Nothobranchius furzeri: one gene and its partners. The protein of the gene in region 3 purifies or fractionates together with the protein of the main gene of each other region. This does not show direct contact. Links are inferred from orthologs where the notes say so. Each region holds a gene or a part of one and is shown on either strand. Other genes may lie near its edges.

The links.
Region 1: the proteins of parp1 (region 3) and xrcc1 purify together in Homo sapiens (affinity purification with western blotting; 9 studies listed by BioGRID and IntAct, with this or other methods). This does not show direct contact. The link is inferred for Nothobranchius furzeri from reciprocal best matches to the Homo sapiens genes PARP1 and XRCC1.
Region 2: the proteins of parp1 (region 3) and tcf7l2 purify together in Homo sapiens (affinity purification with mass spectrometry; 3 studies listed by BioGRID and IntAct, with this or other methods). This does not show direct contact. The link is inferred for Nothobranchius furzeri from reciprocal best matches to the Homo sapiens genes PARP1 and TCF7L2.
Region 4: the proteins of parp1 (region 3) and h2ax purify together in Homo sapiens (affinity purification with mass spectrometry; 9 studies listed by BioGRID and IntAct, counting the BioPlex papers as one, with this or other methods). This does not show direct contact. The link is inferred for Nothobranchius furzeri from reciprocal best matches to the Homo sapiens genes PARP1 and H2AX.

Annotation. Positions count from the first base shown.
Region 1 is NC_091745.1:68,574,866-68,579,060, forward strand, and holds the start of xrcc1 (DNA repair protein XRCC1), read right to left. Parts: upstream 2,833-4,195; 5' UTR 2,605-2,832; coding exon 2,554-2,604; intron 2,473-2,553; coding exon 2,380-2,472; intron 1-2,379. Other genes in the region: sialic acid-binding Ig-like lectin 5, read right to left, coding at 4,111-4,195. UniProt on the Homo sapiens protein: Scaffold protein involved in DNA single-strand break repair by mediating the assembly of DNA break repair protein complexes. Negatively regulates ADP-ribosyltransferase activity of PARP1 during base-excision repair in order to prevent excessive PARP1 activity.
Region 2 is NC_091756.1:39,558,249-39,562,561, forward strand, and holds the start of tcf7l2 (transcription factor 7-like 2), read right to left. Parts: upstream 2,833-4,313; 5' UTR 2,405-2,832; coding exon 2,216-2,404; intron 2,073-2,215; coding exon 2,006-2,072; intron 1,834-2,005; coding exon 1,709-1,833; intron 1-1,708. UniProt on the Homo sapiens protein: Participates in the Wnt signaling pathway and modulates MYC expression by binding to its promoter in a sequence-specific manner. Acts as a repressor in the absence of CTNNB1, and as activator in its presence.
Region 3 is NC_091742.1:4,979,790-4,983,806, forward strand, and holds the start of parp1 (poly [ADP-ribose] polymerase 1), read left to right. Parts: upstream 1-1,155; 5' UTR 1,156-1,279; coding exon 1,280-1,402; intron 1,403-3,103; coding exon 3,104-3,269; intron 3,270-3,557; coding exon 3,558-3,673; intron 3,674-3,764; coding exon 3,765-3,979; intron 3,980-3,985; exon of another isoform or gene 3,986-4,000; coding exon of another isoform or gene 4,001-4,017. Other genes in the region: adorb1a (adenosine A2c receptor), read right to left, coding at 4,001-4,017. UniProt on the Homo sapiens protein: Poly-ADP-ribosyltransferase that mediates poly-ADP-ribosylation of proteins and plays a key role in DNA repair.
Region 4 is NC_091750.1:47,427,489-47,430,455, forward strand, and holds h2ax (histone H2AX), read left to right. Parts: upstream 1-1,483; 5' UTR 1,484-1,506; coding exon 1,507-2,013; 3' UTR 2,014-2,435; downstream 2,436-2,967. UniProt on the Homo sapiens protein: Variant histone H2A which replaces conventional H2A in a subset of nucleosomes. Nucleosomes wrap and compact DNA into chromatin, limiting DNA accessibility to the cellular machineries which require DNA as a template.

The DNA.
Region 1 (4,195 bases), on a different chromosome or scaffold from region 3:
GGTGCATTATGTAGAAATGAAGTAAAAATGTGGTAATATTTGTTTACTGCACCGCAACCATTTTAAACAACTCTGGAGATTTTTTGCTGGCCGTTGTCAAATTACAATTGTCGGCGCAGCAGTATTAGCTCACAGGAGACACGGCAACCCCACACTCACTGATGGTAAACAGCAGTCACGTTCCTCCTTCCTTTGTTAAGACATGAGAAAAGCTGACAATCCCCACAGCCAGCTGGATATGAAATACGTTTCAGTATAATCTTCCTTCCAAAATGACTGAAACATTACTCTTTTGGGATTTTCTCACTGTAAAATTCTCCCTATATTCTTACATACTGCACCTTTAATGTTGATTATAACGGCCAACTAATGAAAATCCAAAGTTCAGTATCGCAGAAAATTTGAATATCAATTAAGACTAGGGGTGTAACGGTTCACGAGGGAGTGTTAAACCGTTTCGGTTCGGTCCACTTGCGTATCGTTTCGGTTTATTTTTTCCGTTAAATAATGAATATTTATTGGTGTGATTCAAGTGCAGCGGATAAAAATTCCTACATGAGTTTCTGCACGGACACTGAATTGAGTGACGCATGATGGCTGCACGCGCCCAGTCTCTGTAAAAAAAAAGGCGATGTGCAAATTCTGACCAACACCTTTCAGAGCGGATCAAACCAGCTGGCTGTCGCTGCTTCTGGAGTCTGTAGAGATGCTGAACGGAGCGTCACCTGTCTCCCTTCTCTCACACTGCAGGCACGCAGCAGCAAAAATGTAAACAAACACGTCTGCTGAACTTTCCCCTTGACAACTGATGTAAAGTTTTCAACCTACAACCAAACACCCAGGAAGCACGTTCGTTTTAAAGAAGAAACTCTGGGTGGTGTGAGGTGAGTTTTTAAGGCTCGCTGCAGAAATAAACTGTGAAACTAATGCTACGGAAGTTCCGGAGGGCCAAAAAGGCGCTATTACATAAATTACACTTTTTTTTTAAATCACCCGCAACAAAAAATTCGAATTAATTCATTCAATTGATTTATTGCCCAGGCCTAGTCCAGGATATTGCATCCTCCTCTTCACAATATCCCATAGGTGTTCAAGTGAGTTTCCTGGTCAATCAAGAACGGGAATACCATGGTCACTGACCCTGTGTGCAGGTGCCAAGTTCTGTTGGAAAATTAAATCTGCATCTCCATAAATTTGGTCAGCTGCAGGAAGCATGAAGTGCTCTAAAACTTCCTGGTAGACAGCTACGTAGACCTTATACCTCAGAAAACACAATGGACCAACATCAGCAGATGACACTGCACCCCAAACCATCAATGACTGTGGAAACTTTACACTGTACCTCAAGCAATGCGGATTATGTTTCTCTCCTCTCTTCCTCCAGACTCTGGGACCTTGATTTCCAAAGGAACATAACTTTGGATCACTCAGCAGCAGTCCAGTCCTTGTCTTTAACCCAGGCAAGACGCTTCTGAAGCGGTCATTTCTTCAAAAGTGGATTGACACAAGGAATGCGACAGCTGAAGCCCATTTCTTGAATATGTCTGTGTGTGGGTGGTTCTTGAAGCACTGACTCCAGCTGCAGTCCACTCTTAGTGAATCTCCACATTTTTTAATGGGTTTTGTTTCACAATTCTCTCCTGGGTGCAGTTACCCCTATTGCTATTACAAGTTTTTCTACCACATCTTGTCCTTCCTTTTGTCTCTCTATTAATGTGCTTGGACACAGAGCTCTGTGAACAACCAGCCTCCTTATCATGACCGTTTGTGTCTTGCCCTCCTTGTGGAAGATGTCAATGGTCATCTTTTGAATAACTGTCAAGTTAGCAGTATTCCCCATGGTTCTGTAGCTTACAGAACAAGACTGAGACCATTAAAAGGCTCTTTTTTTTTGGCTGATTAGAGTGTGGCACCTGGGGGCCTTCAATATTGAACATTTTCACAATATTCTAATATCCTGAGATACTGAATTTGGGATTTTCATTAGTTGTCAGTTATAATCATCAAAATTGAAGAAATAAACATTTGAAATACATCAGTCCGTGTGTTAAGAATGCATCTAATATACAAGTTTCACTTTTAAAAGTAATTACCTTTTTCATGAAATTCTAATTTAATGATCAGCACATGAACATGCTCAAATCACTTGACTTTAAAATGTTATTGTGCTACATTCAGATATGTCAATTAAAGTTGAGTTCAAACGCATGCTTAAAGATCCATCTCTTTCAAAACCCTAAAAACATCATTCTATAATTTAAGCATTTTCTAGGATTTACAACTGAAATAAAAGCCTGATTTAAATATCTCTGTTCAGTGTCACCTGGGCAAATAAAAACAAACTACCGACATTTGACATCAAAAGGGCCAAAAACCAACCTGCAGAATGACTGATGTCTGTTTCTCTCCGGGTCTTGCTGCTTTCCACTTTCTGTAGGTGTCTGAGCTCAGGAGATTGTCTGCTTTATGCGTCTGTTTTATGTTGAAAGTGGGTTTAGTGGAAGCTCAACAGCAGCTGAACATCGACTTTACATGATACAAAAAAAAACTTACACTGTCCTCTGAGCTGCAGGACACGACATGTTTCAGTTGGATTTCTGGCATATTTTGACAAGTTCAAACTTACTTAACCATAAAAACCGTCAACCGAGCGCTTTAAAGATCTAGCGAATCCGTATCAGGTTCAAGACACATAAAACGAAACCAGATTTCGTTTAGTGGCTGTACTTCTCTCGTTAGTCTGCGTTAAACAAGCTGTTGACTAAGCTGATAGCATGCTAGCAAACAATAGATAGTGAACTTTTCCTCATTCGTTTGGTAATTCGTTGTATTTAAATGACTGCTGCGCACAAAATGTTTACACTGCTGTATGCTTGACAAATACCCGTTTCTTTGTCAGCAAAGTAAACTACTGAATTTTCGTGTTAACACGCTTAATTTAACGTAAAACGAGCGAAAGGGTGTCCACATTTTCCCACCAAAAGGCTGCACATTTGACAACCTGACGTAACTTCCAAACAACCGATTTTCTGTCCAATGAGAGCGTTTCTTTTTCTTCTTCTTTTACCATAATTACTTTACACACGTGAGCGCCCCCAAACGGGAGAACTGTGAACTGAGACATCACTAATAAATAGTTTTAAAGATTTAAAAATGTTAACTTACTTTTCTTTTGTTTATATCCTGAAAATGTGTTTTATTTTATAAATTTTAGGGCAGAATTATTTTAGTATTTAAATGTGTGGCAGTGTGAGCGTCCTGTCACAGTGTCCCGATTGATATGCGCCCTGGCTGGCTACTAAGCCAAAGAGATGTTTGACTGACTGGTTCGGTTCGCGCGCGTGACCCTGCTCGGGCCTGCATGTAAATATAAAATGTTATTTTAATACTGTGTAGTACTATTAGTTATTTATTGTATTTAATCTTTTAAATTTAAATTATTTCTGTTGTTTTGTTCATATTTTTGCTAATAATAACAACCCACTTTTATTGTCATATCAATTGTTTTCAGTATATGTCATATATACTTAACTGAAAATGTTCTAAATCTGAAAATAGTTATCGACTGAAGCTGTTTATTTTGCTTTTTCTTGGACAATGATATAAAAGAACACCAAATGTTTTTGATTATTGTAAAATAAAGTTGTGAGGAAAAAAGTTAATACAATCACAGTTTTTACATTCCTGCCCAAACATAAAAGCAGTGATTCTTTATTTCAAAATGTTTTATATTCAATAACAACTTTATTAATGCTCAAATTAATTATCACGGGCAAAAACAAACAAACAAAAAACATCCATAAAACGAAAAATTTCACTTTATCATCAGAAGGGTTAAAGCCAGTCTGTGGGATTGGTGCAAAGTATCATAACACCGGTTGTCCTAAAGTTTAATCAGAAGTTGAACTTTAAGATCATCTGACTAGTAAAACGTTTGGGCTGAAAAGAAAAATTACTGACGTAACAAAAATTGTAAGAGTGCTTAAGCTCAACAAGATTCCAGATATCTGAATCAGTGAATGCTGCAGCAACATGTGGCGGGAAACATGAATGACTGATCCTCCGGAGTTCGGAACCATTTTTAATCATTATTTTATGAGAAGAAACAGTTCAGAGGACCTCCAGGTAGATGCCTGTCTCTGGATCAGCACCCTGCACCTCCCTTGTTGCTCTGACCCCTACACCACCTTGTCTA
Region 2 (4,313 bases), on a different chromosome or scaffold from region 3:
AGTCGGCTGGATAACGTTTGTCTGCAAATATGCACAATTAGTCCGGATTTTTCCTGCAAGGTGTGGAAATGTTACAGATGGTGTAAGGCAAGATAAATATAATTCTTTTTTTTTATTGTGTGTGAAAACAGAAATTAAAGGGCAACGCAGTCTGATCAGCAGCATCTCTTGGACAGAATGCACATATTTGAGCTGCACAACAAAAGGAGCGCTGTGCAAACCTGCAACAGGACACACACACACACACGCACACACACACACACACACACACACACACACACACACACACACACAGAGAAAGAGGAAAAACCAATAAACTCTGCTACTGAGAAAAGGAAGTCCTTCACTTAAAATCACGAGAGCCGTGGTGAACGTGTGTTAGTGTCAGCGCTGATGAGAACAACCAGTGACTAATTCCCACCACATACCAGCCGGCTGCAGCAGCGTTAACCAGGGCCGGACCATGCAGAGACAGAGGCAGGATTAGAAATAAAATAAAAACAGCAAAAACCTTCTCATGTGGTAAAAACATATTGGTCATAGCAGCGAAAAACGTTCATAAATAATGATCAAATTATTTCACGTGAGCCCATGGGCGACTGAGTCAAGAGCTGAAATTGTGTCAAACACAAAAGAAGGCATTATGTGTCAGGTGTGAGCTCATTTTCAAGGTGTGCACATGCAGGGCGCGCACACACTCACACACACACACAAAACACAGAAGGTAACAAATCTGGCTAAGCAAAGCTGAGTTAGTGGGTCATATTTCCTACGGCCTGGTCTTCGCCTTAACCTTGTAAAATAAGATGACAGCTCCTAAAGCAAAGACTTGTAATTGCAGTCATTTAACACAAGTTTTTTGTTTGTTTGTTTTTTAAAGGTTCATGGTTGAGAAAATGATTCTGCTTTAAGGTATCCATCCCCCTGTGGGACCAGTGAGGTGCATAATTACAGAATGGCTGATTGTGACTAAATAACTAACATGAAAATATTTAGAAATGTGGCTTTAGATCAGCATGCGTTGGGTAAAGGCTGTGGACACCTCCAGGAAGCAAAGGGTGGCACACATGCTCAACAAAGCAGAGCTGCGCAATCCAATCAGATAAACAAATTACAACTTTTAAAATATTTTTATATATGTTATAATATAACAGTTAATGTGGGCTTACTCAAGTGCACCTTTCATAAAATTTCCTTTCACGTTTCAGTCACATGCAAATCACCCAGAAAAGACTCATTTGCATATTTATTTTATTGGTGTGGTTTTACACTGCTTACTGTGTCAGAGCCATGCTTGTGTTAGAAAAAAGGGCATTTTAAATGAGGCTATGCTAGCACGAATCAACTGCATTATTCAGCAGTGTTGTTTTTAAATTAAATTAAAAATAATAATAATAATTCATTTTAACTGGGTTTTTACTGGCGCACAGCAAAAATTTTATTAAGAGGAAGAACAAAAATTTGAATATCGCCGTGTGTTTCATTCCAAAATTGCTAAATCTGAGATTGAGAGACATTTAATAAAGTTTTTATTTTTTAGAGCGCGTGCCGCCGTACTGTCCACTTCAGGAACAGTTGGGAAAACTTGGCTTTGTCGGCAGCAGCTCTTCTGGGTGACAAAACAAACCCCGACTCGGGGACACAGTGTGTGTGTATCTGTGGGTGAGGAATGTGTGTAGAAATCCAGCTGAAAATTAAATGAACTTACTGTTCGTGCTGTTGGAGAAAGTGATCCATTGGGAAGGTAGGGGCTTGTGAGGTCGGGAATCATTATAAATGGATAGCCCGGGTACGGTGGGCTCTTGAACAGCCCTCCATCTTGCCTTTTCGCAGCTAACATGGCGGGGGGGTGGGGGGAGAAAAAAAAGAGGAAAACCTTTTTTAAAGTGGCCATGGAAAGTTTTTAATTTCCTGAAAACTACATTTGAGTTAGAGAGGAGATTCCCTCTCCGTCAGGCACATTTTATGTAATGTTAAAAGAAGAAAACAAGCCAAAGTAACTCACCCTCTTCTAAACTTTCTCTCGTTTTGTCTCTGAAAGTTTCAGATCTAGGCGGAGGCCGTCTTTCCGCCTTGAAATGCAATGAAACACAAGGATTGCGTTAAACTCGAGGGTGCTGGAGAACTTCTCCTTCCAAACTCTTCATTAAAAATTAGGAAATGCAAGGGCCTCTGTTTTGTGACTAACTTCAGCGGGGATCGATCCGAAACTTACCTCTGAATCCGAGGAGCTGTTCTGATTCGTTTCCGACTCGTTTACGAGAGAAGATTTGACGTCTGCTAAATCCCTTTCTGCCGAGGAGTTCTCCGAAATTTTCTCCTCCTGCTCCCCTTCGTCTTTGAAGGAAATCATTTCATCGTTCGCACCCAGATCGTCCCCTCCACCGCCGTTGAGCTGCGGCATGTTTCCCGTGCAGAAAGCTCTCCTGACCGGGGCACAACACAAACTTTCAAACCCTTGATCTCGGCGATCTCGGTAGTCCGAGTTTAAGTTTTTTTTTATATAAAAGAAAAACGCGGGGTCTTGTATTGGCGTTTTCCAAAGCTCTGGCGGTTGGTAGAAAACTATATAAGAAGAAAAAAAGAAGGGGGGAATCTTGGCAGAAAAAGGAAGCCGGAGAAGGAGCCGAGCCGCCCGGATTGAGTGAGTTGAAGTTGGTCGGAGTGGTTTTCAGTTCAAAGGCGGCGCTGATTGACAGATAGAGAGGGATGGAAATAGAGAGAGTCTGGATTCAGGATTATTGACAGGGAGAAACACACAAGAAACTAATGAGATTCAAACAGGGAGGGACTTGAAGTGACGTTTTCATAAATAGGAGGAAAGAAAAAAAACTGAAAGGGAGAGAGGGGGGGGGGCGGGGGGACGACTGCAGAGAAAAGGCATGTGAGGAGGGAAAAAGGCAGTTTGGGAACAGGACAGTGAGGGTGAAATAGCAGGAAGATAGGAGGATGCTTGCAAATGTGGATTAAACGCACATATGGGCGGTCTCCCGGTGGAAGGAGGGAGAAAGAAAGGAAAAGAGGGCGCTTCCTCCGGCTGTTTCACCCTCCTACTCCTGGCTGACACTTCCCAGCTAAATAAAGTTAATGTTACATGTTTAAATAAAAATGTGTTTTTTTTATTCTTCTGGCAAATTCAGATGCTTAAATACTCAGAGCCTATCAAAGCAACATTACTCAGAACTGTTAGCGATTCTTATTTCATCTGCTTTGTCAGCTCCTTAGATCTATTTTTCATTATGTTGGCTAATGTTTCCTTAGATCTATTTTTTGGGATGGAGGGTGTTATTGCATCCTACTTTCTCGACAGGTGTGATGTCCTCTGGGACTAACCTGAATTCCTCACAGGCAGCACAGACTGAGCTGTTTTTATTTTTCCCTCTTCTTCTCTTTCCTCCTCAGCAGCCAGGCTACTGGACACAAAGAGACGGATGCAGACTCAGATGCTGCAGCTCTGTCTTATTTTAGTCTGGATGGACCTTTAAAAGACAGAAAATTTGAGTGTTTTTGGTGATCTAGAAATAAAATTGCTGCACATGAAATGGAAAAAAGTATATAAGATGGTTTTATGGTTTGTTTTTATTAATTTTATATTAATTAAATTTGTTGTGACAAAAACAAATCTTATTAACTTTTCTCATGTTCTATGCAATAAAGAAAAAAAACACCTGATGAATAAAAATGCAAAAACATCTTAAATGTAACACCTAAGCATCACAAACCTGCAGTTTAATCACAGCAGCTGACACTATCTCATCAGTTTTCTCTTATCTGGTTCAATCTAGAGCAACAATCACAAAAACATCAATTAATTCACCTTTGGCAACAAGAAACGGAGCTAAAGCATCCAGATGACACCGCCTTGCAGAAATGAAAAAAGGAGCAAGATCAAAACAAGTCACTGAATTGTTGATTAAAAATATTGTCTCGTGTCTTCATGGCGTAAGGCGTGTGAAAACAAATATTATGACACTAATTCCTCTGTATCTGCTGTCAGCAGTGTTGTCAGAAAGCGCTGATAGGGAATTACGTGCAGCACCAAGGTGCTGGGAGCCTAACACGCCCAGAACCAGGCAGTTCCATGAAAGCAGGTGCCCATCATTGATGCTCTTTATCTGGATGAGGTGAAAGCAGCATTTGCTTGCTGCAGCCCATGCAGACAGGAGGAGCATGGAGGAAAGGGTTGCCATTACAGTTTTGTTTTGTTTTTTTTATCCTGTGTGTCAGTGTTCAGGGAGCCGATGGAAGAAGACACACCCTGCTGCTCAGGGGCCCTCCAAACCCGACCCCCGTGCAGACCAGACCAAAGCAGA
Region 3 (4,017 bases):
AACTTCATCATCTGAAATCTCTGTTTTCAGTTGTTGTTTATGCTATTTTGTCCAGTTAAAGAAAAGCCAACACATTTTCTTGCTTGCTTAGAAAATGTGCTAGCAAGAGGTGAGACCTCTACGCCAAAACACACAATACCTCTTAGAATTTTACTCAGTGGCCTGTAAAGCCCTGGTTGACGTTTTTAGTGAGTTATTTTCCACCAATTTTGTTTACAGTTAAAGATGTTTTTATATTTATTAGTAAGCCCAAAGATTTTTTAGAAATAATTTTACTAATTAATGACTATGTGAAAAATTATTGTAAAGACGAGTAAATGAAAGTCTCCATCAGTGTATTATTATTGTCGTTATTGAACCCAAATTGTTATCTAGGCCCTTATAATCAGGTCATAGTTTTTAAAAATTTTGTTTTCAAAAGACTGAAGTTCATTTGATGAACACATATTGTATTTACATTTTGTATGTTTATTTTTTACATAAACTTTCAATGTGAATTGTGCAAATAAAAATCTTAAAGCAGAACTATTCTTTGGAATTGTTTGTTTGCGCATTAGTTCTCAGTGATCAACTATAAACAAATGCAACTATTGTAAATATATTTATAATTAACATACTTAATAGTTTTGCTTCATGTAGAATTTCATGTTTAGTTTTGTAAAAATCTGATTGATCTGTGCTCCATTAGTTCTGGCTGAAACTCGCGCGGGAATTCTGCGAACCAGTTCACTGATCCTATATTGCTCTTAAGATGCCCCACTTGGTAGAAGAAGAAAAGTTAATGTGTGTAGCGCCTTTCAAGATAAAAATCACAGTGCGTCAGAGATTTAGGTTAGGGCAGAGCTACTCTAGCTCTGGGTTAGAGTGGCCAAATGTTTCTCTCTTTTATGAACCGTTAAGAATAAACAAAGTTGTTATGTGGTTACAGTGTAACAACTCAACCCTGATTTTTTTCGGTACATTAGAGAAAAATACAAACAGGTGGGGACCACACAGAAGTTTAAAATGGCCAAACGAATCATCATAATGTCTCGAATCATAACGTAAACAAACTAAAACGTAATATACCACAAAGTACATTAAAACAAAGTTAAAACTTACGTGGATTGTAAATCGGAGTCAGAGTGAGACCTCGTCTCGTGAGCTTCCTCTCCAAGTAGCACGCGGGCTGCAGCCGCCGCTCTGCCTGTGATTGTTGTGGTGGCTCCGAGAGTGCATCGGAGAAAGTTGCCCTCTTCATCACGTCGCTTTGTTTGCTTGTTTGCAACATTAAGGAACAATGGCGGACTCCCAAGATGACAAGCTCTACAAGGCGGAATACGCGAAAAGCGGCCGGGCTTCGTGCAAGAAATGCAAAGAGAGCATAGCTAAGGACTCGCTGAGGATGGCCCTCATGGTGCAGGTGAGGAGGTAGCGACGTCTGGAGGGATTTAACCAAGGAACCATTCTGTTATGAAGCCTTTTATAACCGTGCTGATATCTAAATCATATGTGCGCATATAGAGAACCATAATAATCAGACTTTAAACTAATCTAGTGTAGTTTATAAAGGAGTTTGAGTTGTGCTAAGTGAGGCCCCCGGTTAGCATTTAAATGGCTGACTGAATGAATCTGGCTCACAAAGAGCCGCCTGGATCGCCTCAGAGGGACTTAGGACAATGTCTGAGACCCATCCAGTGTGCTGCAGAATACAACTGCTCCATCCTCTCCTCCACTCAAGAGACATAGATAAAAAAAATCACACAAGCAGCTGTTCCAGTCTGTGCAATAGAGAAATAATCATGTAAGAGTCAAACTCCTGCTTATTGGTCAGTCTGTGGGTCCAGATCAGCACTCACCCCTGCAAAAGGAAGGAAAATTCATTACCACTTGCACACATTTAAAGTTTCAGCCACAAAATATAGTCTATATAGTATTTCTTTTGTAACGTCTTAATAGTTACAGTAATGCATATTATCAGGTCAGTGGTTCCTTTTTGTTTTTATTGTTGGAAAACCCAACCGTGTGTTGTGTATTTTCTGCAAAATATGTCAATTTTTTTTTAGTTCTGGCTGCATGAAACATTGACATTCTTGTGAATATGTTTATTTGTTATACTTGTTTAAATAAGTAAGTCAGAATTATTATCTGTAGTTTTAAAGACAAAATTGTGAAAACCCTTGTTTACAAATTCATGATTTTATTTTTAACGTGAGTAAAATCTGAATTTTTTTAATGCACAAAAAACGTTTGTCATGTAAAACCAGAAAAATTCCATCCATCCATTTTCATCCGCTTATCCGGAGATGGGTAGTAGCCAGTAGCCGAAGTCAAGAGGCCCAGACTTCCCTCTCCCCAGCCACTTGGGCCAGCTTCTCTGGTGAAATCCCAAGGCGTTCCCTGGCCAGGTGAGAGACATAGTCCCTCCACCGTGTCCGGGGTTTACCTTAAGGGCTCCTCCTGGTTGGACGTGCCCAGAAAACCTCACCAGGCAGGACTGCGGGTTCCCGTCAGCTGCCTCTGGAGTCCCACAGGCCAAAAAGACCTGTTAGGACTCTTTCTTCAGCTTGACGGCATCCCTAACCGCCGGTGTCCACAAGCGGGTTCGGGGGTTGCCACCACGACAGGCACCAACGATCCTGCGACCACAGCTCCGGTCGGCCGCCTCAACAAAAGAGGCACGGAAAAGAGTGCATTCAGACTCGATGTCCCCCGCCTCCCCCGGAACATTTTGGAAGTTCTGTCGGAGGTGGGAATTGAAGCTCCTTCTGACAGGAGACTCTGCCAGACGTTCCCAGCAGACCCTCGCGATACGTTTGGGCCTGCCTGGTCTGACCGGTATCCTCCCCCACCATCTGAGCCAACTCACCACCAGGTAGTTGTCAGTTGCCTGCTCCGCCCCTCTCTTCACCCGAGTGTCCAAGACACGCGGCCGCAGGTCAGACGAAACGACAACAATCCATGACTAGCACAGAAATCCAACAACAAAACAACATTCAAATTCAGAAACCAGAAAAATTCAAACAGAAAAACCTTTATTCTCACTTTAATGGTTTTGTTTTTTTTTTTCATCTTTTTTTTCTGATATTTGCTGTTGCTTCATTGTCTTGTTTTTGTCCTCCAGTCCCCGATGTTCGATGGGAAAGTCCCACACTGGCACCACTTCTCCTGCTTCTGGCAGCGAGCGGCAGCTCAGACTGAAGCAGACATCGCCGGGTTCTCCACTCTTCGCTGGGAGGACCAGCAAAAAGTCAAAAAGGCTATTGAGACTGGAGGAGCTGTCGGAGCAGGTCGGTGGTAGATCTTTAATTATTGTGTTCAGCGCCTTGTTTGGTTGTAATGCCTTGTGAATGCGCTTTATAAATAAAATTGGATTGGATCGTAAGCAAAAGAGCTTAAGATAGCTACTTTCAATTGGTTTAACTTTGTCTTATTAGCCAGATAAAAAAGTGAAGTGATCCATAAAAAGTCAAAAGAGTGCCATTTCTCAAGTTGTTCTAAATGTTTTTAATTTATCATTTACTATTAATGCATATTTTTTTTAAATGTTTAGACTTATTTTCCTTTGCATCTTGCAGGGAAAAGTGATTCAAAAGGTGCCGCTCAAGGGGCCAAAACTCTGAATAACTTTGCCGTGGAGTACGCCAAGTCGAACCGCAGCACGTGCAAAGGCTGCGAGCAAAAAATAGAAAAGGTCCGCAGCACAGGAAATGTCTTAATCAATAACCGTTGAACACGTGTCATAAATACTTCACATGTCTGCCGTATTTTTGCTTCTCTTTCAGGATCAGATTCGTGTTTCCAAGAAAACGGTTGACCCAGAGAAACCTCAGCTGGGTCTGATCGACCGCTGGTACCACACGGCGTGCTTCGTGAGCCGCAGGGAGGAACTGGTGTTTAAGCCCGATTATTCCGCCGCCCAGCTGAAGGGATTCGACGCGCTGCGCGCCGAAGACAAGAACGATCTTAAGAAGAGGCTCCCTGCTGTCAAATCTGAGGGGTGAGATGACAAACGTTTAGTTTAGAGATTTGTTTCCT
Region 4 (2,967 bases), on a different chromosome or scaffold from region 3:
AATTACTTTTAAAATTCATGTTTAATCGCATAAAAAGCAGAGAAGATGGTGTATTTATCGTAATTTTGTGTGATAATTATTTTCTGTGGAATATCATAACTATGGTTTGATTTTGATAGTTCAGTCAGCAGGCATCTCGTGCTGGGCAATAAGCTTAATCTGTAAAAAATAAAAAATAAAAATAAAGAAAGACTATCAACTTTAAAAATAAACATGTCGGTAAACGATTTACAATGATCAGGTATAGCTGAGTTGCAGCAGCTCAGTGCTTCACTAAGAAAACATATTTTACAACAAACAGTCACACATTTGATTAATTTATATTACACAAACAGCAAAATGTTGTATTTAGGAGAATTATTGTCATAAACATATTTAATTCAATCCACTTGGACTGTCAGGGTTCAGCTCAGGCAATTAGAACCAAGTTTAAGAGTTTTTTATACGTGGAACTGCTCTCAGGGCTGGAAAAAAAATATTAACAACTAGACACACAAAATGATAATTGCTGCAGCAATCAGAACCAATTGTAAAACTGTACATATGATTTTTTTTCTCTTATAAAAACCTCATTTGAAATAACTGCAATAATTTTGGGACCTCATAACAACCAAAATCAATTATTCAATTACTGTGTTTTTAAATAAATATTTAATCTGATTAAATATTATCAAATGGACATGCCAAACATTAAGCCAGTACTGTATGGACAATACTGTCAAACTAATTAAAAATGCAGAACAGATCAAAACCACTCTCCTGCCTGAAAGCACACATACATATACATGTAGTGATATGTGAATGTAATTTGAAAAAGTGGCTGTAAAATTCAAGATGTGAGGCCCCAGTTATATTTTGAAAATGTAATTTATTGCAAATAAATTATTTTTCAACCCTAATGTTGATTGTGCACTTAGTTAATATGGTCTTGTTTTTGTAAAAGGTATATATTTTTACCAGTAAAATGGTTATTTGCTGAGCTGCCTAGGATTAGCTTCGTCTCAGTGGGGGAGGATGGTGGAATTTTCCATGTCTTGCTGGCCCTCCCTCACACAGTTTGTGCAGTGTAAGCTTACTTCAAGCACATTTTGCGCATTTTAATAAATTGTCCTCATGTATAATTGTGATACATGTGTCACCACATTTCGATCTTGGTCAAAAACCCTGACAACATTATTCAATACTTTACTGTATCAATACTCATTAAATCGCTTGAAATGTTCACTTTTCGTTCGGTAACGCGCCAAAACGTTTAAAGCTGGAGGGAAGACCGTCTATTGGTCTTCCTTCTGACACGTGACCCGCGTGAAACTGGGTGAACAAATAAACAACCAATTACCTTTGTCTATTGGTCAGACTCCTCGATGATTGGTGTAGAGCCAGAGCAGCCAAACCAATAGTTACTGGCTTCCTGGAACGTTTGATCTCCTAAAGCCAAACAAATGAGAGCTTCTCTCTCTAGCATCCAATAGTAGTTTGGGGCGGGACTAACGTGGAGGCTTATATATGGCTCGGCGAGCCTTTTTTCTTTCTACTTTGCGATTTTCTGCATTGAAATCATATTCGTGGAAGAGATCTTCAACAATGTCTGGAAGAGGTAAAACCGGTGCTAAGGCCCGCGCCAAGGCGAAGACCCGCAGCTCCCGCGCCGGTCTGCAGTTCCCTGTGGGCCGTGTTCACCGTCTCCTCCGCAAGGGAAACTATGCTGAGAGAGTGGGCGCCGGAGCTCCTGTTTACCTGGCTGCGGTCCTCGAGTATCTCACCGCCGAGATCCTGGAGCTGGCTGGCAACGCCGCTCGGGACAACAAGAAGACCCGAATCATTCCTCGCCACCTTCAGCTGGCTGTCCGTAACGACGAGGAGCTGAACAAACTGCTCGGTGGCGTGACCATCGCTCAGGGAGGCGTGTTGCCTAACATCCAGGCCGTCCTCCTGCCCAAGAAGGCCGGCCAGGCAGCACCCAGCTCCGGCAAGGCGGGAAAGAAGGCGTCCTCTCAGTCTCAGGAGTATTAGCTTCACGGCTAACCACAATGAACCCAAAGGCCCTTTTAAGGGCCAACCACCGACCGAAAGGGCAACTTTTCTAGTTTATCAATGTCGCTCAAAGCATATTTTGTTTGGGTTATTGAAGGCTTGTGTTAAGGTAATTTCTTTCAGGCTAGATCCTTTGCTAAGAAACAAGATTAGGCTAAATTTCCCCAGTTAGCCTGAAATGTCACTTGAAAATCTTCATCCTGAGTTTATTTTTCATCCTTGAATGTTATTTAAAGTAGCAACTCTTCTGCAACTGACCAGATCCAATGCTAGCTGCACACACTGGCAACTAAACATTTGTTATGCATTGCACTCAGGTTCTCAGGGCTGCTGTATGTTTTCATCATGTGAAACGCCTGTTCACAACAAAACGGTTTCATTAAAAGTTCTGCAAGACAACATCTGTCACCTGGAAACGTGTTTGTGTGGTGGTGAAGTCTCAAATGAAATGTACTAACGGCTGTCTATTCAAGCAGCTCCAGGTGTTTCCTTATTGCACATGGAGAAAAACACGCGAGCAGATAGTGTTAACATTCATGGCTTCCTCTGTGGTTTCTTTTACACGTTTTTCAGTTCTTGTCCCTGTACCACTGACTCAACTTACTGGACTGAGGGGTGATGAGCAGTCCGATAAAAACTAACTTCAGAATCCCTGCAGAAAAAATAATAGTACTTGCAAAGTAGTAAATTGCCTGTATTTGTATAGCCCTTTTACCCCAACCCCCCCCACACACACACACACACACACACACACAGTCATTCACCCATGCACGCACATTCACGCTGGTGGTGATGGAGATCCGGTGTAGCTACAGCTGCCCTAGGGAACACTGGCAGAGGCGAGGCCTGTTGTACACTGGTTCCTCCGACCACCACCAGACAAGGTGGGTTAGTCGTCTTGCCCGTGGACACAACAGCAGCATTCTCTGACAG